Notamacropus eugenii: one gene and its partners. The protein of the gene in region 1 purifies or fractionates together with the protein of each later gene. This does not show direct contact. Links are inferred from orthologs where the notes say so. Each region holds a gene or a part of one and is shown on either strand. Other genes may lie near its edges. The genes, in order: TMEM192, ACP2, LAMP1 and LAMP2.

Region 1 (7,594 bases):
AGTTACTGCTTTGTCTCTACTGGAATCCTTGGTGAACTAAACACTTTTTCTCCCGTTAAACCCCAAAGATAAAAAAAGTCCCCACAGACTTACATGTATTAGCAAGAGGAGATTTGCTATGATGACAGTAGGAAGGGCATGGAATCTAGGTCTGAAATGAATATGCAAGGGATGCTGAGGCAGAAGCTGAGCTTCTAGAAGAGGGTCATCTTCTAAACTTTGTGTAAGATCCAATGAACCCTAAAGGGAGGGAAATAAAAAATGAGTACATTCTTAGATGATATTCACAAAACTAGTTATATAACATGAAGTTTGAAAAGGTGTTTTATACATTAAGAGGCTTACTCCATCCTAAGAATATTTTTCCTGAAAAATCCAACAGTTTCAACTGGAAGGAAAAGGAATTTTCTCATCCTCAAAAGGCTTACCATCGAACTGGCAGTCAAAGAATAAACAAATGAAAAAGTACAATAATGTAAGAGTAATAATGTAAGAGAAGTACTGTGGTTTAACAGAGCCATGGGCTCAGGAAAATCTGGGTTCAAGTCTTACATGTATTAGGTATATAACCATGGGAAAGTTCTTTAACTTCTCAGGGTGCCAGGCAACTTTCTAAGATTAAGCTACAGATGATGAACTTATTTGCATCTGTGTGAGAAGGTTCCACACTAGAAGCTCCTAGTGGTGATGACATCACAAGTTTAGATATCTCTACAAAATGGGAGGGAGGGATAGAATTTGGAACTCAAAACTTTAATTTACAAAATGTTAAAAATTGTTTGTACTATAACTGGGGGGTGGGGAATTTTTTTTTAAATGTTAAATGATAAATACAATTTTTCAAGTATGCATTTGCAATTTTTTTTTAAGCCTTACCACTCTAAATAGGAAGAGAAGACTGAACAGAGGACAAGGTCTATAATCAGAAAGACCAGGGCTCAAATTTCACCTCTAATACTTATTAGTGTGAACAAGTCACTTACAAAACTTCAGGTCCTCAATTTCCACATTTATAAAAGAGATAATGACTGAAAATACTTATCTCAAATACTTACCCTGTGAGGCACAAATGAGATAATGGATGTGAAAGGCTTCAGCTTAGAGCTCTATTACTGGTATACAGTAATTGTTTAATAAATGTTTGTTGACTAACTGATCAACTGATCATACACAATATCCCCAAAAGTCTTACTACAGTTTTAAAGTTTACTCGTTTTATTGTACTAAAACTTTGGGGTCATCTCGTTTAATGCAACTCTGCCTCCGAGTTTTTTAGGCATCTGGTTGGAACTCTGCTAGGTAAGGTTAATACGTTTTCGTTCTCCTCACTTTACCCCCCAATATTATTTCTTTTTTAAAAAAGTTTATTAATCCTCCGTTAAAAAATATCATTTCCAGACAATTACACAAAAATAGGAGATAGTATACATTCTTACAGCATTAGTGAATATGCACTGAGATAAAAACATTACCTGGGACAAGAGGGTATTCATCTCACTCACCTATCAAGGAATAAACAAAGAGTAAAATGTCTCGCTCCTCATTCAGGAAGTATGTGTAGCCTATAGTCCTGGGCACAGTGAAAATGGGTAAAGGTGCAAAGATCCAGGGGGCATGTTGCCAAGCAATGAGTCAGAGTGACACATGTGCCTACCCCAAGGGCAGCAAGATTCATGTAAAGCTTTCCCAGATGGTGCCCAGAGAGGAACTGGAAAACAGTGTTTGTGTTCCTTTTCCAGGAGCAATCAGTGTTCTAAAGAAAGAGAAGGCCAACCAAGAGACAGATGTGAAAAGGGTAATGATCCCCAGGAAATGTTGGTGGGTTTTTTTGGGGGGGAGAAGGGACAGAGGATTTTGAGGAACAGAAAGAAGCAGTTTTACTTTGGCTACGCTCCTTGGGCCCGAACCCATTGGTTCACAAAACCAGAAGAAATAAAAGACTCTACAATTCAAAGCGGATAACGGAGCCCAGCTCCTTCTCCTCCAGCTTTCATGTCGCCCCAAGGAGAATGAATTGCAGTGTGCGTTCCTCATTGTACAGAAGAGCAACCTGCAGCCTAGAAGAGGGTAAGAAATTTGGCATTGCGTCATAGGAAATGCCAAGGGGGAGTGGCTTTCAGAAAACCCGGGGAGATCTCTATGCAGTGAGGCAAAGCGGGCAGAACCAGGAGAACGCTGTAAGACTCGGCTATACTGATCTAAACGGTGCTCCACGACCATTGCAAACAAGTCGGGATCCAACCTCCAGAAAGGGAGCTTGGAGCGCAGAATGAAACGCCGCTTCTTGCTCCCCTCCCCCAAGGCTAACAGGACTTCACGTGGGTAACCAAGATCACGTGGCCTGCCTTCTCACAGGGCGGGGCGGGGTAACCTCCGTTTATTTGGAAAGCTGCGCTTCGCGCGGTGGCCTCAGCTCCAGCTCCCCAGCCCGGGCTCCGGGGACCCAAACCCGCTTCGAGCCGGCAGGTCGAGCGCGCAGTCACGTGAAAAAGCCGAGTTCCGGGACCGGAAGCGAGGAGCTGGGGGTGGTGTGGGGTCGGCCCTACGGCCCCGCCCCGTCCCCAGATGGGTCCTCCCCGGTCCCCCCGGCGGCGGCGCCTCTCTCCCGGAGCTGCCTCTCCACCGTGCCAGGTGGTCGCCGCCCCGAGCCCCCTTCCGCGAGACACGCGCGGGCTGGAGCGCTCGAGGGGGTGGGGAGGGGGGAGGAAGGCAGCTTTGGGGCTCCAGGCCCCGCCCCGCAACGCGGGGAACCCCTAGCCGCGCCCGCCCCGCGCGCACTCACGTCCTCCAGCCTGGTCCCCGCAGCCATTTCCCGGGCTCCCGAAGGCGAAGCCCCCGCCGCCGGGGCTCGCGGTCTGTACCTGCGCGTCCACGCGGCTGCTCCGGGAAGGTGGGGGAAGGTGGGGGAAGGTGGGGTTAGGCGGGGAGAGGCGGGGGCCAGGAACCCTCAGTACCCCGCCCGCCTCCCCGAGCAGGCTCCCCTGCTTTCGGGCCGGCCCGCGCCGCCTCAGGCCCCGCCTCCGTGGGCGGGGCCGAGCTCCTCCTCCAAGGCCCTCATTGGCGGAGCCCGAGAGGCTTCTCCCCGACGCTGCGGGCCTGCGGAGGGAGGGGGGGGACGTTCGCAGCAGAGCTGCTGCGGGTCTCCCTTCTCTCCTATCTGGACCGTGACTTTGGCACCCCGCGTTCTCCTTTTCAAGGTTCTGGACTCAGACAGGCTGCGGCACGGTAGGCTGCATTCCCAGGCTCTCGGCGGCGCGATGTCCGCGTCTCTCGGAGCTGTTGTCTGGGCGTGATTTCCGGCGTCCGCCGGCCCTGGCTGCGCGTGCCCCCTAGGAGGACTCGAGAGTGCTGGGTAGAGAGCTGAGCCGCAGAGGGCAGCTCTGGCCCTTTCAGCTTACAGGTGGGGAAACCGAGGCCCCGAGAGTCCAGCGACCCGCCCGAGGGAGACCTGCGGCTGGAACCGAGCTTCCATTGCCCCTGACGCAGTGTCTCAGGCCTCGGTGTTCTCATCGGGAAAAGGAAGGGTTTGGCCTCGAGATCAGTGGTTAACGTGCAGTGCCGCTAATTTATTTTTAATGTTTTGGTTAACTAGTTCAGTATCCCTTTGTTTGTAAGTATTTCAAAGCATTACAGTATTCAGAAAAGGGGCGTGTAGGCCTCACCAGGCCGCCGGGGGGCCCACGACACAAAAGGAGTGGAGAGCCCCAGTACCTCCCTTCTAGCAGACGGAGTACCCTTAGCTCTGCAAACTTGGACGAGTTCTGAAGTCACCCTCTGAACTGCAGTTTTATCACCTGTTAAAAACGGACATTTGTAATAACCATCCCGCTAATCTCTGAGCCTAAGCTTCATCGCCTGTTAAATAAGGACAATACTAAGTAACCATGTAGCCAAAATCATAGAATTCCGGTCGGGAATTGGAAAGGACCTCAGGCCATCCGGTTCAGTTATTGGGGAAATGTGTTGGACTTCAGAATCAGGAAAAACTAAATTCTAATTTTGCTTGGATACTACCCATGTGACCCTGGGAAAGTCACCTAACAGGTCTTAACCTCATCTTCCTCATCTGAAAAATGGGGGTGATAGTAACAGTATTATTGTGAGAATCAAATGAGATAATATACTTAAAGGCCTATTTAAATGTTAGCTGTTTTTTAAGGCACTTTATAAGTGTGAGTTAATCCATTTCTAATAGCCTGTGATTCTGAAATACATCTTAAAAAAAAAAGCGTAGCATCTCCATCATTATGGTCATTAAAAGAGTTGTTGATGATTATTTAAAGCCCAAATCCCTGCGGGGGCTGGGGGGTGGGGGTGGGGGGGGTGAGGTGGTGGCTGGACCCATGTTACAGGACAAAGCAATTAATAACCTGAATGCAGGGCCTGTCCCGAACAACCCAACAGTAAATTAATGGTTTATAAGTGCTTTATGTACGTCTCATGTAGGTATTCTTCTTCTTCTCACTTTCCTAATGAAGACAAGTCAGAGAAGATGGTGCTCCAGTCACACTGATGGTAAATAGCCACTACAGCCACTACTGTTTCCAAGAGACCACACTTTGTAGCCTGGGTGGAGTGTATACACACACGTTCATGGAGTGAAGAAGAACTCACCAATAACAGAGTATTTAAGGAACTCCTCACAAGACTCCCTAGTTAAATGCTTCCTTCTTCTATGGAATGAAGAATGATGGGCTTGGATTGAGAAATATTTTGAATGAATGAGTCTAAGTCCTTGCCAAAGGAGGTAAAGTGATTGTTTGTCCTTGGGGCAATCCAGCTTCTTCATAAGAAAGTTGGGTGAGTTTTGTAGATTATATGTGGTTTTCAGAGCAACATCCCTTTCCTTATTTTTTTGGGATGATCTGTCTCCTCAGGTCTGCTTTATTTAGATTCCCTAGTTATCCTCTACTTGCTTGAGTATATTGAAAGATCCTTCATGGGACCCTGTTGCTACCATCTTGGCTCCAGTTTCCCTGACTGCAACTTCCCTTCCAAACAACACTTATCTGTTAAAAAAATTTTTTTTTTCAAATGGACGAAAATCAATTTTCTCTCTTCCCTGTTGAAAAAAAAACATTTTGGAAAACAGTTTGGAATTATGTAAATAAAGTAACTAAAATATTCTTACCTTTTGATCCAGAGATTATATACCAAGTAGGCCATTGATAAGTTCAAATATATACCAAAATATTTATAGAAGCACTTTTTGGAGAGCAAAGAAATGGAATCAAAGTAGATGCCCATTGATATCTAAACCAATTGTGGTACATGAATGTAATGGAATATATTCTAAGAAATCTACATGGATTTATGCAGAGGAAAGAGCTGAGAAATGACTACAACAGTAAATGGAAAGACCAACCACACAAAAGATCAAAAAGTGAGTCGCAAAATTGGAATAAGCATGGCTTAAAAGAAGACATGTAAGAAGATACTCTCACTCTTCTGTAGAAGTAAGAGGCCCACATGTTGTACATTGTACACATTTCAGACTTTTGGGGATATGTTAAAAGTTATGATGATTTTTTTTTCTTTAAAAATATTATATTGGATGACTTTCTGGGAGGAGCAGCAGGAAGGGTAGTGGGGAAAATTATGATGATAATAAATATAAATATTTATCATCATATTGTTACATAACTAATGATAGATAACAAAAATTCATTAAAAATAAAACCCTTTTAATAAATACATATAGCCAAAGAAAACAAATTCCTACATTTGCCACATATAGAAATTGTATATTTCATTTTACAGTGGATTCCATTGTCTTTTCTTCCAGAGGTGTGGCATTCTTATTTATCAATCCTTCAGAATTGTGGTTGGTTTGCTTGATCAGAGTTCTCAGACCTTTCAAAATTGCTCATCTTTACCATCATTAAACAACCCGAGTCTCAGACAAGTAGACTACCCCTGATGCTTTCATAGTCTCACCACCCACTCAGTTTTTGACAGCCAAGGGGCTTCTGCTTCCCACCAACAGATCTGTCTTAGGTTGCCTGCCACAGGTCTCTTTGTAATCAAATTCAAAGGTCTTAATTTTCTTCCTTCCTGTTTTAAAACTTCCTTAATCCCTTATCTTCTGCCACCATTCCATCTTCTAGTTCCCTTATTTCTTCTTACTTTTCCTCTAATTCATCTGGTATCTCTCCCCTCCCCCAGCAGTCACCTGTGAATTTCCCCCAAGATTTATCCTCTTTGTTCTAAAAGAAGAAAACAAACATTTATATAGTGCCCATGGTGTGCCAGGCATTGTGCTAAGCACTTTTTTACAAATACTGTCTTATTTGATTCTCACTACAATCCTTCCAGGTAGTTGCTATTATTGTTCCTGTTTTATAGTTGAGGAAACTGAGGCAAGTAGGTTAAGTGATTTGCCTAGGATCACACAGTTAGTAAGCATGACCTACAATTTCTTGAAAAGTGTCGTAAATTTTAATTGCTTTTTTGGTTAACAAAAATCTACTTTCTCCTACTTCTTCCGTCCCTCACATTGGGGAAAAAAAGAAAAGAAAAACAAAATCCTCCTAACAAATATTTATATAGTTGAGCAAAACAAATTGCTTCATTATCCATAACCAAAAAGTATGTCTTATTCTGTCCCCTGAGTCCTGAGATAGGAGATCTTGAAACTCTCAGAGTGTCTACCAGGACCCAGAGCATCTAGAATGGCTTCAAAGAGCCTATTGCCTTGTAGCTGACAATATAACAAATCACACAAAGAAAAACAGATGAAGAAAGGGCATCTTTTTTCACTCTTCAAATATTATTGATATATTTTGCTTCTTAATATCATATTTGCTTCCCAATATGGCCTTTCCCTGTTTCCCTGCTTGGGGATCCATCCCTTTATAGTTAAGAATAACAAAAAAAATAGTTCCTCAAAATTAACTGACATCAGTCAAGTCAACAATGCATGCAATATACTACATCCATAGTACTTCAAGGGAGGGAGGTGCATACCCATTTATATTTCAGAGCTAACTCTGGCCAACATGCAACTTAATTGTTTCAGTTGCTTTTAGATGGTAGCATATTTAATCATAAGTGCTCTGTAATTAATGGTTGGACATTGTTGTTGATTTATTGATTGATCTGTCCTTTTACTTCATTTTACTTCACCAAATTTTTTTTAAAATTTTATTTTTAGTTTTCAGCATTCACTTCTATACGATTTTGAATTTTAAATTTTCTTCTTCTGCCTCTGCTCCCCCCTTTCCAAGACAGTATGCAATCTGATAGAGGATATATCTGTACAATCATATTAAACATATTTCCATATTAGTCATGTGGTAAAGAAGAATTAGAACTAAGGGGAAAAGTCACAAGCAAGAATAAACCAAAAAAAGAAAAGAGGAAACAGTATGTATGCTTCAGTCTGCATTCAGACTCCATATTTCTTTCTGTAGGTGTTGTTAGAGGTGAGCCCATTTAACAAAACCCCAACAGTGAGAAACATGCTCACCTTAAATAAAGAACAATAACTGTTGTGAAATCAGGAAAGCCTTTATTAATCTTTACAAATGGACAGGTAGCCTCTCCAGTAAAGTTACTGGAAGACCACAACACGTGCAGGAAGATGGGGCTTCTT
Region 2 (7,089 bases), about 160 Mb from region 1:
TCGCTCTTCAGAGATGAAGAAATGGATGGGAAAGATGAGCAGCTCTGTGAAGATGGGACTTACATATGACAAGTGCTGGCAGATGAGTCTGGGCACAGAAGCCAGAGACACCAGGGGAGCTTTGGAGGGATTCTGAGGAGAGTGGTGTGCCTTCCTTGTCACTCACCTCCCTGAAGCCGGGCCTTCTCTGTTGGCTGGTACATCCCAAAAAGGAACCGGAAACTGAGATCCTTGAGCTGCCTAAGGCGCTGCATAGTCTGGGGCGAGGCCCAGGTCGGTAAGGGCAGGTCATGAGTTTGCTGTATACCATATGGGCAGGTTAATGCAAGGTGGGTTAGAAGGAGCCCAGGGATCCCAAATGGGCAAATGGCTATGTGAGTACATGCGCTCATGTGGGAGGGGAGGGGAAAGAGGAGAGAGATGAGACCCGGGGACCAGGGTGGCAGCCAGTATGTCTGGGGATTGGGTGGTGGGGCAGACAAGAAGAGGAAGCTTCCATACAGACAGTCTGACTCAGCAATATGGAGTCACATAAGAACTGCTGACAGTTAGGAAACCATTTCCCATTTGGAGGTTCTCTTTCAGCCCTGGGAGGGGAAGTTGTGTCCGCTCCCCTAATATGCCTCAGTAGGTGGTGGGAGGCCTCTTCCCTTGCGTAGGGCCTGTGATTAATGACCCAGGCCCCTGGAGGAGGAACCCTGGGGTCTGTGGTCTGCACACCTCACAGAAAAGAGTGTCATAGATGTTCCAGGCTGTCTCTAGTGTCAGGTCTGTGACACCTGTCTCATTAGCGACCATCTCCAGAAATTGCTGTGAAGGTAAACCAGAGGTGGTCATGGTCACCCTGTTTCCTGTGGGCTGATGGCATCATGACTTCCTGCCACCTTCAACCCCACTTACAGCATTCTTAGCGGTCTCATTTTGGTATTCAGGGGTCTGGCGAGTCTCATTCTGTAGCTGCTCAAACCGAGGACAAGGGCCCAGTGGGAACTTCAGCAGCTGTAGCCAGAGGGGAGCAAAGCAGGGCAAGGATCAGTGACTGGTGAAATGAGGAGGAGGGAGTGTCCTTATAGGTGAAGGGACAGTCAGCCTCACCTTATCCTGGGCCTCAGGGACTGTATGGACAGGGATAGGCTGCCATGTGATATTTGGATTAAAAGACTGTGCCCCCTCAACAGGGAAGAGTCCAGCCAGGTTGGCCTCAGCACTCATAAGGGTGCGGTCAAAGTCTGTGCTCCGAATGTAAACCTGCCAAGGAAAAGTGAGCAAACCTCTGTCAGAGTGGCTGGGAAAGGACTTTGGCCCTTGGGACAGCAGACCTCCCAGCAGCTGTAGGCACTCCTCCGGCCTTGGACTACTGTGATAAGAGGAGCAGACCGGAAAAAATAGAATTTGGGAGAGTGGAGCAACACTGGAGAACCTGGGGTAGAAGCTGTCGTTAGGGTACGGTCCCTCGACCAGCTGCACTCACAACTCAGATTTCCTTAGGGCTTGTGGTTTACCTAGCCCTTGGCTCACAACCACCAGCTGTGGCCAGGGAGGCAGGGGGAATCCCCCAAGGCACCTGAGAGCAGATCAAGTGGCTCTGATTAACCTTCCCAGTGCAGAGGTTTCCTTCTCAGAGGTGGTGGTGCTTGGCAACTTTCCTTCCTGGTCTGGAGCCACATGGATGGAAATGCTCCCTCCCCTCAAGGACGGAATGGAGCAGTGAGCCTAGAGAGCTCTCTCCTCCTTGTACTGGAAAAGCTCCCCCAGGTGGTGCCAAGCAGAGAGAGGCAGAAGCCCTCCCAGAACCTCCCTGTCTGGATCCCTAGGCTCACCTCTTCCCGGTGGTAGGAGGCATTGAGGAAGCCCTGGTAGCGCCGCCGTAAAGCCTGGCCCAGCTCCCAGTGCTGGAGCATCCCCTCCTGCAGGCAGACCCAAGGGCTGGTCAAGCCGGGGAACCTTAGACTCTGCTGGTCTCTAATTCTGCCCAAGGAAGGACTGGTACTGAGTGGATCAGCACCCCTAGTCAGTCGGTCCAGCCAGATGGGTGGGGGGAGCTGGATAAGGGTGCCCCTGATCTAAGCTGGTCAGGAGGAGGGGTCGCAGATCCTCCAGCTCTGCTCTGCAGGCAGCTGGACCTAGCACCTAGGGTCCTAGCCATTTCCTTATTTTTGGCGTCCACGACATGCCCGGGGCACTTTGGGGGAACCTAGAGACCCCTCTGCGGAACCTTTCTGAGCGCATAGAACACAATACACGGGTTCCCACGGAAATCAATGTCATTTAACGAACCACTCGTGAGAGTCCCAGGGTCGGGGCGCCGGGACAGACCTTGGTCAGCTGGCCAAAGCCCTGGGGCCACTCTCCCTCCTGATAGGGGTCCTTGGGGTAGGCCTTGACGGGGGACCTGTCTCCGTGTCGGTACAGCTGAGGAAGAAGGAGAACCGCGCCGTAGCCCCTCACTCCCGGCGCCCCTTTACCCGAACCCCCCCGCCCTCCCCGCAGAGCAAGGTCCTGGGGTGGCCCCCGTCACGGGGGGGCGGGGGGTGACGCCCCGAAAGCCTCCTCCCTCGCTCCGGCCCGGCTCCCCCCCCGGCCTCCAATATCGATCCTTACCCGGAGACCCCCTGCGCCCAGAGCGAGCCCCTTGCTTACGCAGAGGTCCGCCCGGAACGCCGGAGCCTCCTCCCCGGCCCCCCACTCTTCCCCAGCCCAAGACACCCCCGACTCCGACCTGACGATCCCTAGCCTCGAAGCCCCCCTCCCACCCCGAGCCCACAGCCCCTCGACCCCGCGGAGACCCCGGCTCTGCGCCCCCCGACTTCAGCACCAAAATCACGAAGCGGAGACTCCGGGCCTGAGCGGGCGGCCTCGGCAGCAGCAGCAGCAGGAGGCCCAGGCCTCTGGCCAGGAGCAGCGGCGGCGGAGATCCCCAGCCGCGGCTGCCGGACTGTCCACCCGCCATCGCCGCCGCCGCCTACTGAGGGGCCCGCGAGCCCGGAACCTTAGCCGGGGAGTCGCCGAAGCGGCCCGGACGCGCGGCCCGGAGCTCCCACAGGAAGCGCCCGCGCAGCCATCTTTGTTGAGGGAGAAGGAAGCCCGGGTCAGAGGAAGGAGGAGGGAAATTGACCAGCGGGCCGCGGGCCTGGGGGGCGGGGTGGAGGGGCGTAGGAAAGGGCGCGAGGCCTCCGGCTGGAGGAGGGGCCGCCGAGGACAGCGCCCCCTGGGGGCGGGGCGGAGCGGAAGGAGCTAGGTCGATTCCCGGTTCCAATCCCGCCCCCGTGCCCCTGCGCGATGGATTAGCTGCATGGGCCCCCCACTCCCCCTCCCCCGCCGAGCCCAGCCCCGTGCCTTAATGCCCTCGTTTGTTAAATAAGGGCTGGGCCTGGAAGAGGGCGTGGTGGCGAAGCGCTTCGAGCCCTTCCAGGCCAGTTGTCCCCTGGAGGGCGAGAGCCGCCTTTTCTACCACGTGGCCCGGGGGCCTGGGTACCTGGGGCCTGGAGGCCTGGAGCCCGGCCTGGGGCCTGGAGCCCCGCCTGAGGCCTGGGTACCTGGGGCCTGGGAGCCTGGGGCCTGGAGCCCCGCCTGAGGCCTGGGTACCTGGGGCCTGGAGCCCCGCCTGGGGGCTGGGTACTTGGGGCCTGGAGCCCCGCCTGAGGCCTGGGTACCTGGGGCCTGGGGCCTGGAGCCCCGCCTGAGGCCTGGGGCCTGGGTACCTGGGGCCTGGAGGCCTGGAGCCCGGCCTGGAGCCTGGAGCCCCGCCTGAGGCCTGGGTACCTGGGGCCTGAGGCCTGGAGCCCGGCCTGGGGCCTGGGTACTTGGGGCCTGGAGCCCCGCCTGAGGGCCTGGGTACCTGGGGCCTGGGAGCCTGGGGCCTGGAGCCCGGCCTGGGGCCTGGGTACCTGGGGCCTGGAGCCCTGCCTGGGGGCCTGGGTACTTGGGGCCTGGAGCCCCGCCTGAGGCCTGGGTACCTGGGGCCTGGGGCCTGGAGCCCCGCCTGAGGCCTGGGGCCTGGGTACCTGGGGCCTGGAGGCCTGGAGCCCGGCCTGGAGCCTGGAGCCCCGCCTGAGGCCTGGGTACCTGGGGCCTGAGGCCTGGAGCCCGGCCTGGGGCCTGGGTACTTGGGGCCTGGAGCCCCGCCTGAGGGCCTGGGTACCTGGGGCCTGGGAGCCTGGGGCCTGGAGCCCGGCCTGGGGCCTGGGTACCTGGGGCCTGGAGCCCTGCCTGGGGGCCTGGGTACTTGGGGCCTGGAGCCCCGCCTGAGGGCCTGGGTACCTGGGGCCTGGGGCCTGGAGCCCCGCCTGAGGCCTGGGGCCTGGGTACCTGGGGCCTGGAGGCCTGGAGCCCGGCCTGGGGCCTGGAGCCCCGCCTGAGGCCTGGGTACCTGGGGCCTGAGGCCTGGAGCCCGGCCTGGGGCCTGGGTACCTGGGGCCTGGAGCCCCGCCTGGGGGCCTGGGTACCTGGGGCCTGGAGCCCCGCCTGGGGGCCTGGGTACCTGGGGCCTGGAGCCCCGCCTGGGGGCCTGGGTACCTGGGGCCTGGGGCTCCTGGCACAGTGCCCTGGGAAGTGCCCAGCCTGGCTGGTGACTGGCCCCAGCACAGATTTCTCAGTACCCCCTCACTGCAAACAGGGCCCCATCTTCCAGTGGTCAGTGACTCTGCCACTGAGCCCCGAGAGTAAGCCCTTGAGGTACCCCACCCGTCACGAAACAGAAGAGAGGGGGCACCCCGCACCCTTGGATTCTAGCATCATCGTCCCTGATTTGTTTCTTGGGGGGCAGCGGGTCTCTAGGGGAGGCCCAGATGCACAGAGAGGCGGTGGTAAGATGAACTGAGGCCTGAACTGGTTCTCAACCCTCCCTCAGATCCTTTGTAGTTGGAGGCCCTGGGGAAATCACAAACTTTCTGAACCTCAGTGGCCTCATCTGCAAAGTAAAGATGAGAGCTGTCCCCCAGGCTTAGTCAGGGGCTCTGATGCGATGTTAGGATATTTCTTTCTGAATTTTGAAGGACTCAGGTATTGGTGTCAAAGAGAAAAAGCGCCTCCCCAGGTGTAGGGGCCCCTGTAGGTTGACAGGACTGTGCCACGGGGCCAGGGTTTGCAGGCTGGGACCTGGGGCTCGGCGGAGGCTCCCCTTACTAGCCAGGGCCACCTCCGGGGAGGAATCAGTGCCAGAATCTGGTACTTCTGCTGAGGCGTTGCCTAAGGGTGTTGCCTTTCACCCAGCAGCTAGGCCCAGTGGAAGGAGCTCCATCTCAGCTCTTCTACTTATTAGCTGTGGACAAATCACTTCCCCACTTCATCTGTAAAATGGGGATGGTGACCTCTGAAGTCTCTTCCACCTTTAACTCTCTCCCTCCTATAGCCCTGGGAAGTTTGTGAATTCCTTGGAGCAGACTCCCCAGAAGAGAGATTTTTGTCCCGTGATGTTTGCCTAGCAGAGCTGGTTCTGGTCTCGGTCCTGGGGTGGAAGTTGTTTGGGGTTTACACGATGGGACAATGTTTGGCATATTCTGTAGCAGTGTGGACAGGATCAAGCCTGCTGAGTTCAACAGTACTTGTGAGGAAAAGGCCTGGGGGCCCAGAATGGCCAAAGAGAGATGTTTGATGAGGTTTCAAACCTGGAGCACAAGGGTTTTCAACCTGAGGTCCTTGAACTTTTTTTTCCAACTGTTTTGATAACTGCATATAATTGGCTTCTTCTGTAATCCAATGTACTTTATTTTACACTTTTAAAAAGGTTTCACTTAGACTACCGAAAGGGTGTATGGCACAAACCAGGTTAAGATCCCCCCAAATCTAGCAGAAAAACCTTGCCAAAAGATTCCAATATGGAGAAAGGGAGGAAAAGAGATACTAGAAGAATGTAGCCCCATCCTCCCAAATGGAAGTTCACTGAGGGCAGGGACTGATTCATTTTAGTCTTTGTTCCTCCAGCACTCAGAATAGTGCATGGCACATGGGCCTTGTTGACTTGGCCCCCAAGAAGACATACAAGGCAGCCCCTTCCCCTCTTCTGGTGGGGTTGGGAGATCCTAGGCGTGGACCGTGGTAGAGAAAGTTAGGCCTCCTCCCTCTTTCTTATTCTTTGTGCTGGAGGATGGAAGACTGTGCTCTGGAAGAGAGAGATTGGTGGATGGGATGAAAACCCAGAGGTATCAATGACGTTTTGTCATTTTTAACAAATCTGCTGAATTGGATTGGACCAGCTCTGGGCGTTTCAGGCAGAATCAGAAAGCCTGAGGAAAGGAGGAGGCCTCAGATGGGGCCAGGAGAGAGGGTGGGGGATGGAGGGTTTAGAGCAAAGTCTATCTCTCTGTGCGAAGCACATTTAGGTTTCTTTCTCTTCTAGAGCTGCTGGGGTGTGGTGGGAACAGGGGACCCAGGACTGGGAAGTTTGGGTTGATGATTCAGGGGAGCAAGAGGCTGGGGTGTCCCCTCCAGATGGGAGCCCTGGTCACAAGGCTGAACGGAAGACTGTGGGCAGGACCTTGGGGAGGGAAGGGGGTCACAAGGGCTTCTGGTCATGTGAAAACTCCTCTGGGGGCAAATTTGGTCACATAGGCCAGCCTTCTCTCTGGGCTGTCTCTCCCTCTGTTCTCATCACCATCCCTGCCCTTCCTCCTCCCTTCCCTTTCTGTTTTTCCTTAAGCCTCATTTGCCCCTTTTTCCTTCCCAAACCGCCCACCACTCTTCAAATCTCCGCTTTCTCTAAGTCAGAATTTACCTCTTCCCAGCACCCTCTTCTTTCTGTCCCTCTGCACCAGTGTCCAGTCCCCCTGCCCAATCATGTTAAAGTGTAGGACCCATGGGAACTGAATTCACAGCAAAACAGGAAGGAGGCAGTAAGCAGAGGGGTGGAGGCAGGGGTGACTGGCCGGGAGTAACCTCCGGCTTCTCTCTCCCACAGCTGTCCTGGAGCATCCTGCCTGGCTCCTCCATCAGCCTGTCCTCACTAGTCACCCCGTGGGGCTGGGTTCAAATCCTGCCTTCTGATGTATGAGCCAGTTCCAGGCCTCAGGCACGTGGTCCGTAAAAAGAGGAAGTGAGCATGCACACATAGGCCAACACTGTATTTGTAGAAATATAGATATACACACATCC
Region 3 (7,490 bases), about 41 Mb from region 1:
TTCCTCCTCTGAACCATAATGAATCCCTGATTTTGGTGCAGGTAGGTATTTCTTCCCAACAATTTTTTCCCATCTCTCTAGGAGCCCATCCTCCTAGCATCTACCCAATTGGCCCTAGGCCTTTCTGTAAGCTTAATATTTTTTCCAAGGGTTGCTGGATCTTTTTGCCTCAAGATATAAACCATCTCTCCACCACTCGCTCCTTTTCCTGTCAAGTTTGTCCTCCATGATAAACTAAGAGATTGTTGAGAAACTAACAGGCAGGAAAGCGAGTCTCTTCCCCAGTCTGTGAAGCAACAGGAAGAGAAGTGAGCCACTAAGTTCATCTCGTACTTTAATTTTTAAATGCTGACCTAGCTGAAATCACCTATTTCATTTCTGCGTGGCTTGCTCAAAACCACACACTGCAAGTAAGTAGAATATCCAAAATTACATAACTGCTTGCTCCGTAAATGTATTTGAGGCAGAAAACATCGTAAGAGAAACGTGCTTCCATAAATTTGTTGTTAATGGTAGATGTCCTCCTAACCTTCACAATACATATAGAGTGTATACATTAAATGAAATCTACATTGACACAATTCTGAAAATTACATGCACTTCAGGTCTAAATCCTAAAACTATTTCTAGCAGAAAAACTGATTCAAGTCTTCAGGCCTTTCAATTTAAATTTAAATAAAAATGTACCCTCTCAACAAGACCTAGTCCATTAGATTTCTCTTAGGGAGAAAAAAAAACAATCATTTATAACAAAATTATTTGAATTGGCTAGTCTTCCAACTGAAAGTAAACGCATGCATAAGCTATCTAAGTACTCAGTAAAATGCAACGCGCCCAGTGGATGCATGAAAGGTAAAGATGGAAAAACTATAATAAACCAATGAAGGTATTATAAACTTGTGGTAGATTATGACTTCTCTGTCATTTAAGGAAGGGTCAATTAGTTCTTAGTCCACTCAAAAAATTGTCTTAAGATTAGAAATGAAAATAGTCAGCAGAGGAACAGAATTTTTCCCCCTTTAATGTAGTCTAAATGAGATTTGGTTTTTTTTTGCTGGGCTCCATTTCATTTAAATCAAATTAATTTTATTCTAGAAATTAATTTTAAACATAAGGTGTGAAAATAAGACTTAGCCTTTGCACAAAACAAGCAGGTATGTCATTTTGGGACACACTTAACAGGAAAAGGAGTGAGTGGTTGAGAGATGGATTATATCTTGAGGGGAAAGTAACAGTTCAGCTCCCATGATCAACGTAGCATCTTATGGTCTTTACTTGGAAATAAATACAATATCTTCCATTTTGGGGGTGGGATGAATAAGACTTGCTGATCTCCACTCCATTTCCAAGAGGCTGCCCGGGTTCTCGGTATAACCCAAGGTCTCCCTTCTGATTTCAGCCCAACAATAAGCTACCACGGCCCGGCTCTCCCCCCATGTTCGCGTAGGCTGGTCTGTTCGCCGGCACGCACCCCGCACGCACTCCGCACCCCGCACGGCGGGCGCCGCGCTGCTGACTGCTCCAGCACCTCCCCGCAGCTCCTTCAGGCGGGTCACATGCCAGGCTTTCCAGGTCATCTCTGGGGCCCAGCACAGGCAGAGCCAAGTTCTTTCGCTCCACAGGTGGCCGGCACGGGCGGACGGGCACGCGCATCCCCACACCGAACACATCCCAACCCCGGCTTTGCTCTACCCAAGTGGGGGCGGGGAGCGCGGGGACCCCCCCGGGACGAGCCCACGGGCCTCTCCATCACCCCGCCCCTAACAAGGAGCGCCCGGCCCCACACCCCCCAGGCCCGGGTCTCATGACCGCCAGGCCGCCGCGGGGCCACACCGGGCTCCCAGTCTGCGTTCTCTCCCGGGAGGCCCGAAATCTCGAGATTCCCAAACCCACATTCATTCGGCCCGCGCCGAATTCTCAGAAGCGAAGGGGGTGCGACACCCAAGGAGCGGCTCCAAGGCGCCTCTCCCCGGGGAGTCGCCCGAGTCGCACCCGGGCTGGGGCCGCCTCCCGGCGAGCCCGGCGAGCGCGCAGCGTCCCAGCGCCAGGACGCGCAGGCGGGGCCCGCGGGTCTCGTCCCCTCCGGGCCGGCGGACGAGGCCGGCGTGGCCGGCTGTTTTAAAGCCCCGGTGACCCGCCGAGAGGAGAAACAGGAGGCGAGGACTTTAAAAAGTTTCGCGTCAGTTTAAACCCTCGTCTTCCAACGTTCTTCGTGGCTGGCCGGCAGAGGCCGGACCCGAGGCCCCGCTCCGTGGGGCCTGCGGGCCTGGCGTGGATCGCCACTACTGGGGGGATTCGGGGGTCACCGAATACCCGTCTGCGCCGAAAGGCCGTCTCTAGGGGGCCCCTCCACCCCCCAACGCCCCGATCCGCCGCAGCTCCCGCCGGCCGGAGCCAGCCGAGGCCGACGCGGGCCCGGAGGGCCGGGGAGAGAGCCAGGCCCAGCGCAGGGGCCTCCGTCTGCACATCCCACCCCCCACCCCAGGCCTGCGCCGGTCCTCTCTCTCGCCGAGGCCCCGGCCCCTCCCCGCCGCCTCCATCTTACCGAGAAGCAGCAGGAGCAGCCGCTGGGGCGTCCGGGCGCCACCGGGGCCAGCCATGGGTGCGGGGAGGAGGGACGGACGGACGGACGGACGACCTCGGGGGAGGGGGCGCGCCGCGCTCGGGGCACGAGCCGGGCGGCGGTTGGCAGTGACGACGGGGGCGGCGGCGAGGGGCACCCCGACTTGCTAACCGCCGAGGAGGGGCGCGCTGGCGGGAGGGTGGAAGGGAAGGAAGTGGCGGATGGAGGAAGAGACGAGAGAGAAAGGGGATTAAGGGTAGAGCGGGGCAAGTGACGTCCCAGCCAGCGAGAGAGGAAGCCCCTGCCGCTCCAGCAACCGCAGCTCAAGGAGACCCCGGCGGGCAGCTTGGCCGATCATGTGACCGCCGCAGCGAACCCGCCCCCCATCCCCCACGCTGTCACGTGAGCCCCTGCGGAGAAGGCGGGGGAGGTGGTGGAGAACTCTCGCGAGATGACGTGTTCTGTGGGGTCGGGCGAGACCGGGCTAGTTTGCGCTGTAAAGCTCGAGGCCCCTGGAGCGTCTTCGTTGTTCTCGCCCAGAGCTTCCCGCTTTATCTAGCGCTCTCGCTCCTTTCCCCGGGGTGGGGGTGGGGGTGAGGAAGGGCTGGGCTGAACTCCCGGGGTGCGGGAGTGACTCCTGCTGGCGCGGTAGGTAGGGCAGGCGCCCAGTCCCGCGAGCCCCCCGGAGGACGGCCTCCAGCTTGACCTTCCGGGGGTCGCGGCCTGGTCCCTGGAGCCGACACCGAGCGCAGGGAGGGACGTGACGGGCAGAGGCAGACTGGGAAAACTCGGGGAAAGTTGGGCAGGAAAAAGGAAAGGCCGGAGAAAGGGACAGGCCTGCGGGGAGGCGCGGAATGGGGAAGTGGAAACTCTGACGGAGCGGCTCGGCTTTTCCGAGGAGGAGGCCTGGCCCCGGTGATCTCCGGTCCGATCGCCGCCCTGACCGCGGGCTCTTAGGGATGGGAGAGGGGACCGGGCCGCCGGCACGTAATGGGGGCTTTAGGGGGAACTGTTTACTGCGTGGTGCATCAGCCCCGGGGTGGGGGAGGGTGAGAAGTGAAAACAAGCACGGATTAAGCGCCTGCTGTGTGTTAGGCTCTGTCTTATTCGCCGGGGAGTACTAAAAAATGGGGGGAAGAAGAGGCCCCTGGTCTGTGGCGCCCCGGTGCCGGCGGAGGACACGTTGTGCGAAACGGCGGCGTGCCTTCGAGGTGGAAGCCGTGGAAGTGATGGAAGTGATCCCAGAGAGCAGGCCAGGACGGGAGGGGAAGGCCTCGGAGAAAGATGGCGGAGGTGTGAAACCGTGGGTGGTCCTCGTGGAGAGCCTGCAAGGATGAGGTTGGGAGGGGCTTGGGATGTCAAAGAGAACATCCTGCAGGATTCAGGACCCCCTGCGGGGCCTGGGCTACAACTAGAGAAACAGTGCCTACCTGGAGGAGCCCAAGATCATGTAGGGAGGAGCTTGGATGAACTGTCAAGGAAAGAAGGGATTCAGAGTCAGAGGTGAGGAGGCAGACTAGGGAGGGCCTGTGTGCAGAGGCCGAGAGATGAAGCCTCATGCCCCACGGTGGCTGGTGTGGCTAAAGTGAAGTGTCTGTAAGACGTGACTGATAGCTAACAAGGAAGGAAGTGTGGTTTGGAGCTAGCTTTTGAAGGTTTTAAAAAGACAAACAGGAGCTTATATTTGATCCCAGAGGGTACAGGGTGCCACTGAAGTTTATTGGGAGAGGGAGTGGTGGTCAGGCCTGGGCCTCAGAAAAATCACTTTGGCAGCTGCCTAGAGGAGGTGGAGACTTGAGACAGGAACATCAGTTAGGAGGCTTTTTTCATAGCCCATACTGGAGGTGGTAAACTGCTGGACTAGGGTATGATCCTTCAATGGGGAAAAAAGGGGACAAGTTCAAGAGAAGCAGTGATAGAACATAAGCTCCCTGAGGGCAGGAGATGTTATATTTTTGTCTTTGGCTCCCCAAAACTTAACACAGTACCTGGCACATAGTAGGTACTTAATAAATGGATGTCCAAAACAGAATTCATTATCTTTCTTCAAAATCCTTCTGCCCTTCAGGCTCCAAACCTAGGAGTGAGTCATCCTCATCTCACTGTTTCTCAGCCCCCATACCCCAGCTGTGGCCAAAGCCTGTCGATTTCACCCTGGCAACATCTCTGCGGTAATCTGTCTTCTGACATTGCCACCATGCCAGTGCAGGCTCTTTGGGTCTGCCTGTCGGAAGTCTCTTCCTTGCTCCCAATCCATCATTAAACCTGTAAAGAGATTTTCCTAAAGTGCAGGTTTGACCATGTCACACATACTACCTCATACCCCACCCTCCCCAATAAACTGCAATGACTTCCTATCACTACTCTTGTTGTTACTGGACTCTTTATGACCCTGTGGAACATATCTTCCATGGGATTTTCTAGGCAAAGATCAGTGGTTACCTTTTCCTTCCACAGTGGATTAAGGCAAACAAAAGTTAAGTGACTTGTCAAGTTACTTGCATAGGTAGTAAGTGAAAGAAGTCAGATTAGAGCTCAGGTCTTTTCTAAGCCCACCACTTTAACCTTTGAACCATCCCTATCACTACCAGGATCAAATACAAAATCCTTTAATTGGTATTCAAAAATCTTTACAATCTAACCTTCTCCTATCTTTCCAGTCTTTTTACGCCTTACTCTCCGTCACATGCTACACGATCCAGTAACACTGGCTTCTTTACTCTTGATGACTCTGAGATTGCAAACTTGGGTCACCAGAAAGATCGTGGTCTCCACAGTATTTAGTCATTGCCTACTGTGTTTAGTCTTGTGGTAGGAGAGAGCTGCAGGGAGAGAGCATGGAGTAGTGGATAGAGAACTGGTTTCAAAGCCAGGAAGACGTGGGTTCAAGTCCCACCTCCGAGTGTGTGACCCTTCATGGGTCACTTGATCCTTCACTGTCTCTAGCATAAATTGTAAACCATAAATTATCCAAAGAAGCTCCTGGTCTAGTCCAAAAAAATAATAATTCCCTTGTGAAGAACAGGAGTAATGCCAACATTAAAATAACAATATAGCACTGTGCTATTTTGAGGTGCAAATAACTGGAGAGCCGTAATGCTGTACTAAGTACTAGGAATACAAATTCAAAAGGCAGACAGCCTCTGACCTCATGGAGCTTACATGTCCCAAACTGAACTCATTAATCTCCCCCTCCCCACCTCCGCCCCATTCTTCTCCTTTTCCTAACATCTCTATTTACCACCATCAGTATGTTGTGGTTTTGGTTTCATGATGTGTTGTGGTGGAATCAAAGAATTCAGAGTCAGACCACGTCTAATCCAGGTATAGGCATTTATTTGAGATTGACACCTTTCATGAAGCAGACTCAGTTTCAAGAGAAACCAGCAACTTCAGAGAAAGCAAGATGGATTTTTATAGGGTAAAGATGCAATTACATAACAGAAATTATGAATATTCGAAAGGCAGGAGGGTTTTGTTAAGAGATTAGATAATAGGGGAGGGGTCCCAACCACCGTGGAATGTGTATGTGATTACCCACAATGCATACAGAAAGATCCATTTGGAATATATGTACATATATATGATAATGATATTGTAATAAACCTCTCTACGTCATAAATTCACTCAAGGTAAGTTCTTTACTACTACTGTCCAGGTACCTACTTAGGGAAAGTTCCTTCTATTGTCTTGGGGTCCGTATCCTGCTTGGGCATCTTGGTTGGTGCTGTTTTCTGATTAGCCGAATGTTATGATCCTGTCTGAGACTAGACGGATGGGGATGTGGTTGAGTGCACAGACACATCTGCTGTTTTCTGTGGGGAATATGAAGAATGGGTCTGGGGGCAGTGGCTAGATAGAGGAAGTGGCTGGGAACCCATCCCATGAACACACATATGCAGTTTCTGTGAGAAATAACGAGTTCATGGACACACCTGTTGTTCTAGTGAGCAGTGAGGCATATATGAAGGAGCTAGGATATTGAGTTTGTCAGGGGTGGTGAGTAGCTAGGTAGGTACAGTGGGCCTGCTGTTCAGTGGGGCCTTTAAAGAAATGAAAATATTGAGGCTGAGGGCAGCTTTATTAGGATCCCATCAATCCCAGTCACCAGGACTCAAAGTCTATAGGTCACTACTCCCCAACCCTCCCCCTTCACCACCCTGCTTGTAGTCATTATAAAGGCTTGTCGATTTTGCTTAGACTGTTGCAATACTCTTCTGATTGGTCTTCTGTCATTCACAGCCCTTCATCACCTCCTCCACCTCACCCTTTCCAATGTCCTTACACCTTGCACCACCACATCCAAATGTGTTCTGGGATCCAGTGAAACTAGCCTGTTTGGTACCTCAAATAAGACACTCATCTCCCAAATCCTGGCATTTTATTGGAATGCTTTCCCTCTTCATCTCTACTTCGTGGCTTACCTGGCTTCTTTCAAGCTGAAGTTAAAGTCCCCCCTTCCGCAGGAAGACTGTCCTGATGTCTTTTATTTCCAGTGCTTGATTATCTCCAGCGTAGCCTGTCCATAACTTTGCTTGTACGTAGTTGCTCGCATGTTGTCCCCCTCATTAGACTGAGCTTCCTTTGTATCCCTAGTTTGTTTCCCAACTATGCTGTAGTTGACACCGAATAAACGTTTGCTGAGTCACCCTAAAACCCCCCAGACTGCCGTATGTCCCTATCTCATGTTTATGAAGTTGATTTTTTAATGCCTGGCCTAAACACTTATCTTGTCTGTGTTGTTTATCCTATTAGAATGTTAATTTATAGAGGTCAAGCACTACCTCCCTTCACATTTATTTGTTCAATGGGTGTTTACTCTGTATCACATACTATGCTAGGTGGTAAGGATATTAAGGCAAAAATATCCTAAGTGCCTATTCTCAAGGAGCTTCCATTCTTTGGGGGGAAACAGCACATAACTCAT
Region 4 (7,788 bases), on another chromosome or scaffold:
AAGGTCAATTTCCCACCTCCATACTCCAGGACAGCAAGCAAACTGTAACCCATACAACTATTCCAACATTGTCCTTTTTATTTTCTAATTAGAAAAAAAAGAGGAGTAGGCAAAGACGAAGAAACAGTAAAGGGAGAGGAGCTTTTAAAAACATTTAAAAATCAAATTACAATATGAATTTCTCAAAAGATATCTTTCAGAAATATAAGTCTTTCATAGTTTCTAGAGCAGGGATGGGGAACCTGCAGCCTCGAGGCTACATGTGGCTCTCTAGGTCCCATCTCTGCTCTAGAGACTATAGAAAAACTAGAAATGGAGGCAGAAGAAGATCCTCTGTAGCAAATCTCTACTGGGTTATTCTGATTTACTCCATGGTACCAACTCCTCAAAGGCAACTTTGCTGCTAACAATTGTTCTTTTGCCCCAAAGCCTAGGATTCTTGCCCCAAGCCGACGTTAACTTTGATATATGATGAGAAATCATAAAGGATCTTTGACTCTACTGACATGTGATTCCCCATCTGATTAATCTTCAATCAAAAGAGAGAAAGTTTCTCCATGAGAGAATTAACTAGTGCCCTTTCACTCACTGTCAGGACTGTACCCACATCCCAGGGACTGACACATTTGTTAGGTGTTTTATGATTGAAGCTTGAATAGCAGTATGATTTTAAAAATGCAGAGTTTAAAAGTCTTTTTTTTTTTTCAATCAAATATTTGTTCATTCTGAGAAACAGCAAAAGAAAGAAACCCACACCATGCGAAGAGTCCTCCATTTGGTCAACCTCCAGGGCAATCTACTTCAAGACAGCTTTGACTCCCTCAGATAGCATACCATTTCATATCAGTACAATCTTTAATCATTTGAATATAAGATTATGAAAGGAAGGTTTTGCCCATGTCAGAGGCGCCAGGAACCAAGGTCTAGAAGTATAATCTATTGCAATATCGCAAAGTGGATCCACAGGAAGCAGGGTGGGAGGGAAGAAAGGGCAGGATAGCTTTATTATAAGGAATTTATGGGGTGGGGGTGGGGGACCCAGCACAAATAAAAGAATGCTTATATATGAAGGCACAATCTTGGCAAAAGTTTAGTTATACTGGGATGATTTATGTTGCTTTGTCTCACTTATTGAAGTTAAAATGATTCATCAACAAAAAAAAAAGCTAATAAAAAATTTTTAAACCTTACAAACACATACAAGATATGAGGATTAAATGATTACTTGACTAAATAATAAACAAGTCATTTCAAATGCCTATGTTCCAAAAGGAATTCAAGCAAATCATTGGAAAAGAAATTCACTTTATGAAGACCATAAAGTACTCATTCATGTCCAAAGTCTTTCTAGAAAATTCATCATGATAATTCTTAGCTATTGTCATACCTAAGAATTGATATGAGGACCTACATATCAGTGCCTACATATTCATTAATCCCTCTAACTGCATATTCCTAAGGAAACATCTATGACCACCCCAGTATTCAACTAGATGGGAGTATATGTCTCCCATCCAAATTGGCTTTACAGAGATCTTTGTCAGTGAGCATTTTTGTGAAGTTCTGAATTCAAAGTCCTTGGAACTGCTCATCTAAAACAGTTTAAATTTCATAGAACTTGGATGCTCCATCCTAAGGCTTACAGGAGAGTTTAGAAAGTGAGGGGAAAGAAGAGATTGGGACTTTTCTGGGGGCAAATGAAGAGAGGGCTAAACAGGTTGAACAACAAGATTAATTCTTCAAAAAAAAGATTAATTCTTCTACCAGTAAAATACATATACAAAATTTATTATGGCAACTTTGTTTTTTTTCCCCTCCAACCCTCATTTAAAAACCAACTTACACCCTCCTCTATATGAGGCTGTCTGTGCTAAGTTAGTTATGGAATTCTGGAATGCTTTCCTCATAAAGTATCCCTGGGAGATAATAATAGCATGAGGGGGGGGGAGGGTGAAAAGAGACAGATAGACTGAGAACCCAGGTAGCAGATAGGGTCCCTAAATTCAACTCAAGTTAGGGGAAACCACCTCAACTGAGTTCAAGGTGGAGTGTTTCCTTTCCTAGCCACTGAAGAATTCACTTCACACTAAAGTCTCCTCAGTTTCAGGATCTGGGTTCAAATTGGTCCTAGTGTTGTGACCACCATACCATTTTTCCACCAGGTCCAAGTCCCCCTTGAATTAACATCTCACTCATACTTTGTTCACTCCTTGGCCCCCTAACCCCTCCTCCCCCATTCTACCTACATCATTCTTCAGTCCCCTGATACCTTCCATTCCGATTTTGGTCATTCCTCTGCTTCCCCCCAGACACACACATCAAGGTTAGTCCAAAGCCCCCAGCCTCATCTCTCTCCTAGGTCACCACTCAATTGTACACCTCTCTCCCTCCCCCCTCCCTTCCATTCCCATCTAGGTCACTCCTATGATCGCGTCCCCCCCTTCACCCTGGTCACTCTTTAAGCCACCCAGTAGCCCCCTATCCCATGAGGTCACTCCTTACCCACCCTCACCACCGAGGTTACTCTTTCACGACAGCCCCTCCCCTCTCACCATAGTTACTCGGCCCCCCCCCCAACCCACCCCCATTCTTATTCACTCTTCAGTAGCCGCCCTCCCTCATCCCACAAGCTCCTTTTCTCCCCTGTTCCAAAGGGCCAGGTCGCTCCCCCCACCCCGGGTTCCCTCTGGTCCCGGTCCCGGCCCCAGCCCCCCTCCCCAAGCACTATCCTCGCTGTCGAGCAACCGCGCCTCGGCCTCGGACCCAGAGCCAGGGTAAGCGCTGGGCCCGGTCCCCACAAACTCCTAGCCAGCCGCCACTCACCCAGCAAGAGGCAAAGCAAAGCAAAGGCCGAACCCCGGTTGAGAGGGGAGAGGGGAAGGCGGCAGGTGCGCGACATGGTCCCGGCCCCGGGGAGGCGGCAGCAGCAACCAAACTCCCCGCAGCGCAGCGTCGTATGGTCGAAAGCCAGGAGGCAGCCGGGCTATAAGACAGAGATGCTCGACCCCGGCTCTTATGACGAAGTAGGGCGAGGCTCTACCGTCGACCAATCAGCAGGCAGGAGAACAGTGGTGGGTGGGGCTAAGGCGGGGCTTAGACTACGGGGCGGGGCTTAGGCTGTGGGTGGGCTGAGCTAGGGAGGGAGGGGAGGCCCTGAGGGGGGGGGGGGCAGGGAGACCGTGGAGAGCGCCCTCTAGCGTCTAGACAGCAGACCGGCAGTTGGACTGCAGGTCCGCTGCGCCAGTGTAAATGGCGGGGGAGAGGCAGAGGGGCGGGGGGCGGCAGGAAGAGGGAGGGCCGGAAAGAAAGACTGGAGCCAGGAGGGGGAATGATCGAAGGATGGATTAATTTACCACCACCTCGCCTTTGTGTCCCGCACCTAGTCTAGTGCCTGGTACCTGGTAGCCGCTTAATAAATGTGTATTGTGAATGATTAACTGTGGGAGGCAAGAGGAAGAGGGGTGCCTTAGTGTAGTGAGTTCCACAACCCAGCTCTAGTGGAAATCTTTGATGGGTCTTAGGTCTCCGTTTCCTCTCTTGCTCCAGAGTCTAATTAGACTAGCGCTTACCTTCAAATGGCCTCCTCCCACCAGCTCCATCTATGCCTCTTTAGGAGTGTAGTGGAAAAAGCAGTGAACTTTAGAGGCAGAAAACCTGGGTTCAAATTTGAGCTCTTCTAGTTGCTAGCTGTTAACCCTTGGGCCAATCACCTCCCCTCCCTGGGCCTCAGTTTCCTCAGCTGTCAAATGAAGAGGTTGGACCATATGACCTCTGAGGTCCCTTCAGCTCTAGACCTAGGGTCCCAGGTGTGACCTTGGACCAATCACTTCAACTCTCCAGGCCTCAGTTACTCATCATCTGTAAAGGATGGGGCCAGACTGATGAGCTCCAAGGAGGCTTGCAGCTCTAGATCAAACGAGACAATATTTGTAAAGCACTCAGCACAGTGCCTGGCACAAAGTAGGCACTTCATAAGGGCTTCTTCCCATCCTCCTCCCTTTACTGTTGGATAGGTTTGGCCAGTTCCCACATTTTTTATTTTATTTTTTTGATTGGTGGGTTGGTAGATTTTTTCTTTATATCATAGTCATTTTCTTACATATTTCTCCTCCCCACCCTGCGTTGAGCCCTCCCTTGCAACAAAGAAGAGCACTTAAACAAAACTCACAAAGCAACCACAAACTTGTACAATACCCTCTCTGGAGGAGAGAAGTGTCTTTCATCTTCTGTTGCCTTGAATCAAAATTATTCGTTGCAATTGTTTATATCAAAGATACAGAGATAGAAAGACCTCAGAGAGCATCTAGTCCAGTCTCCTGATGAGGAAACTGAGGCCAGGAGAAAAGTGACTTACCTCAGCTTACACAAATAGTTAAGTATCCGAGGTGAGATTTGAACCCAGGTTCTCTGACACAAAAGCCAGTGCTCTCTATTCCGTAGCCCAGATGTGCTCATCGAGGAACACTTTTTTCCTCTCCTCATATGCAATGTCTATATGATTGTGTAGTAGAGTTATCTGGGTTCATATTTGAGCATCACTAATGAACTGTGAACCCACAGGAAAAGAATTGTGTCATTTATCTCTATATCTCCTTCAGAGCCCAGTAGCATGCCCTATACTTGATACAAACTCAATAAATGTTTGTTGACTGGGGGAATCGATCAATAAAATCCACTGGTAGGCACTTAATATGTGGCAAAGCAGGTCTTCTTTCAGGTCTACTGGATTTTGTGCTGTCTATTAGTGTGCGCATGTTCCATGCGCCGATGGTGAGTGGAATCATCTTTGCAGATGTTTTCATACATTTTGTACATTTTTTTGTGTTTTGACTGCATAGTGGGATTCCCTGCCTGCCACGGTAATCAGGCGAGGGTTGGATAAGCAGATAATGTTTAAGGCACCTTTTGTAGCCACTTCTTCACACCAGGAGGTGAGCAGTGTGATCCTTAAAAGGCTGCTCAGACATCCAGGGAGCTGCCGAGTTCCATGGCTGCTTCCAGTGAGAAACAACCCTGTGGCCTGGGCCATCTGTGTGCAGGGTTGTGATTACAGCTCCCAGTGTATCCACATCTGCTGCTTTATCACTTGCCTGTCGCCACAGGACTTTGAAGCATAATAGTGAAATGGTATGGGTGATGTCTTTTGATTAGTGCGTAAATTGGATTTAAGTGAGGCAGAATTGCACGGTAATCAGCCTCACTCTCTCCAGTGTCAAGATGACTGGCCATGGCTCAGGATGCAGTGGACGACCTTGTTGTCTTCAGCGTCTAACCAAGCTCTAAGGGCTCCACATCACCTGCTTCATCTGCCTTCATGGCCGTTGGAACAAACTGTTCTCATTCACCCACTCCACCAGAGGGAGTATTCACACGCTTGGGGTAGACACCCCACCTAACTCACTAATGGGTTTGAGAACCCTTAATTACCCCCAACCTGGTTTGACCCATCTGCCAAAACAGTTTACCTGTGTGTGGCTGCTGCGCGTGCTGCAGCTTCTTGGAGCCACAGGTGAGAGTTAGGTGGAACAGGTGAACACCAAAGGTGGAAAGAGCCCCAGAAAGGGTTCGGCAGCCATCACACCAAGGTACTGGTCCTCCCTGAACACACCCTACATCCCACTGGAGAATATAACAAAAGGGAAAATGCAGTTCCTGCTCTCTGAAAGCTCGAAGTCTAATGGGGGGGAGAATGTGCAAACAGCTGAGTACAAACAAGCTACAGATAGGATTAATCAGAGGTAATGTTCAGGTAGTACCTAGATGGCACTACAGTGGATGGGGAACTGGAGTCAACAAGACCCTAAGTTCAAATCCTGCCCCAGGCACTTACTAGCTGAGATACCATGGGCAAGTCATTAACCTCTGTCTGCCTTAGTTTCCTCAACTGTAAAATGGGGATAATAATAGTACTTACCTCCTAGGGTTGTTATGAAGATCAAAAGAGATAAGGATTATGAAGTACTTAGTACCATGCCTGACATGTTATATAACATATATAAAATGTTAATTATTATTAATGATTACTATTATGATCTCAGAAGAATATAGGATTCTTATAGAAGGTAAGATTTTAGCTGGGACTTGAGGAGCTGAGATGAGGAGGGAGAATGTTTTAGGCATGAAGGACAATCAGAGAGAATGTACAGAATCCAGAAATTGAATGTCATATACAAGATACAACAAGGAGGCCGATGCCACTGTTCGTAGGGATAAGTAAAATTAAGAAGACTGGGAAGGGCGGAGGTGGGGGGATGGGAGACGTAGGAACAGGTTGTGAAGAGCTTTGTAAAATAAACAGAGGATTTTATATTTGGACCTGGAAGTTATAAGGAATCACTGGAGTTTACTGAATGGGGGGAGGTGAAACCTCTACTTTAAATTAAATTGTCAGCTGAGATGGACTTGAAGCTGGGAGACCAATATATGCTATTGAAGTAGTCCAAGTGTGAGGTGTTGTTTTAAGTTGTTGTTAAGTAATTTTTCAGCCATGTCCTTCTTTTCATGACCCCATGTGGGGTTTTCTTGGCAGAGATACTGGTGAGGTTTGTCATTTCCTTCTCCAGCTCATTTTACAGATGAGGAAATTGAGGTAAACAGAGTGAAGTGACTTACCCAAGGTCACACAGCTAGTAAGTGTTTGAAGTCAGATTTGAACTCAGGAAGTTGAGCAGTCCTGACTAGAGGCCCAGCCCTCTATCCACTGCAGCACCACCTAGCAGAGTATTAATTTACTATTAATTCTAGCTGAGGAGTGGCTAGAACAACAAAACTGGAATAGCTCTTAGAAACCATTGGTCCCCAACCCTCACTTTATGAAAGAGGCAACTGAGGCCCAGAATGGAAAAAATTGTACCCAACCTAAGTGCCATTTAGGCAGTTCAATAAATGACTAGAGCACGGAGTGTAGAATCAGAAAGAGATGAGTTCAAATTCTATTGCAGATAATTGCTAGCTATATAATCCTGGGCAAGTCACTGTATTCCAGATTCCTCAGCAGTGAAAGGAGGAGGCTAGACTCAGTCAATTCATATAAATCTCCCCATGTTTCTCTTGAGTTCTTCATATCTGTCATTTCTTACTGTACAACAATATTCTATTACATTCAAATGCCATTGGTTTTTCAAGCATGCCCCAATCATTGGGCTCTCATATTTTATTTCTAGTCCACAAGAAGTGCTGCTGTTATTGTTTTGTTAGATATTGGGCCTTTGTTTCTGTCTGACTACTTTGGAGTATGAGCCAGTAGTGAGATCTGAGAATCAAAGGGTATGGGCCAGGATGGGGAACCTGCAGCCTCTAGGCTACATGTGGCCTTCTAGGTCCTCAGCCTTTTGACTGAGTCCAAGTTTGACAGAACAAATCCAAACAGGGATTTGTTCTGCGAAATTTGGATTCAAAGGGCCACCCTTAAGGACCTAGAAGGCCGCATGTGGCCTCAAGGCCACAGATTCCTCACCCCAGAATGGGAATTTTTAGTAACTTTCCTGAAATAATTTCAAATTGAAATCCAAGTTCACAGCTGCACCAAGAATGTCTTGATGGCTCTATCTTCCCACAGTCCCTCCAATGTTGACTGTTCCCATTGTCTGACATCTTTGTCAGTCTTCCCAGGCAAGGCAAAACCTCAGAGTTGATGGAATATGTTTTTGTGTGATCATTTAGAATTTATAATTCTTTTTTGGAAATCCCTTTATTTGATTATTTGACCAGTATACCAAATACATATATATACATGACACGGTGGGTGAGAAATTAGATAAATATAATGTATGAAACTGACGTGTATAT

The links.
Region 2: the proteins of TMEM192 (region 1) and ACP2 purify together in Homo sapiens (affinity purification with mass spectrometry; 3 studies listed by BioGRID and IntAct, with this or other methods). This does not show direct contact. The link is inferred for Notamacropus eugenii from reciprocal best matches to the Homo sapiens genes TMEM192 and ACP2.
Region 3: the proteins of TMEM192 (region 1) and LAMP1 purify together in Homo sapiens (affinity purification with mass spectrometry; 3 studies listed by BioGRID and IntAct, with this or other methods). This does not show direct contact. The link is inferred for Notamacropus eugenii from reciprocal best matches to the Homo sapiens genes TMEM192 and LAMP1.
Region 4: the proteins of TMEM192 (region 1) and LAMP2 purify together in Homo sapiens (affinity purification with western blotting; 5 studies listed by BioGRID and IntAct, with this or other methods). This does not show direct contact. The link is inferred for Notamacropus eugenii from reciprocal best matches to the Homo sapiens genes TMEM192 and LAMP2.

Annotation. Positions count from the first base shown.
Region 1 is NC_092877.1:167,078,645-167,086,238, forward strand, and holds the start of TMEM192 (transmembrane protein 192), read right to left. Parts: upstream 3,017-7,594; 5' UTR 2,810-3,016; coding exon 2,783-2,809; intron 1,509-2,782; exon of another isoform or gene 1,494-1,508; coding exon of another isoform or gene 1,473-1,493; intron 241-1,472; coding exon 94-240; intron 1-93.
Region 2 is NC_092877.1:3,721,581-3,728,669, reverse strand, and holds the start of ACP2 (lysosomal acid phosphatase), read right to left. Parts: upstream 3,004-7,089; 5' UTR 2,951-3,003; coding exon 2,816-2,950; intron 2,413-2,815; coding exon 2,278-2,412; intron 1,908-2,277; coding exon 1,821-1,907; intron 1,249-1,820; coding exon 1,096-1,248; intron 1,000-1,095; coding exon 901-999; intron 811-900; coding exon 721-810; intron 300-720; coding exon 167-299; intron 1-166.
Region 3 is NC_092877.1:207,901,118-207,908,607, forward strand, and holds the start of LAMP1 (lysosome-associated membrane glycoprotein 1), read right to left. Parts: upstream 3,001-7,490; 5' UTR 2,601-3,000; coding exon 2,546-2,600; intron 1-2,545. UniProt on the Homo sapiens protein: Lysosomal membrane glycoprotein which plays an important role in lysosome biogenesis, lysosomal pH regulation, autophagy and cholesterol homeostasis.
Region 4 is NC_092879.1:43,863,966-43,871,753, forward strand, and holds the start of LAMP2 (lysosome-associated membrane glycoprotein 2), read right to left. Parts: upstream 3,009-7,788; 5' UTR 2,900-3,008; coding exon 2,824-2,899; intron 1-2,823. UniProt on the Homo sapiens protein: Lysosomal membrane glycoprotein which plays an important role in lysosome biogenesis, lysosomal pH regulation and autophagy.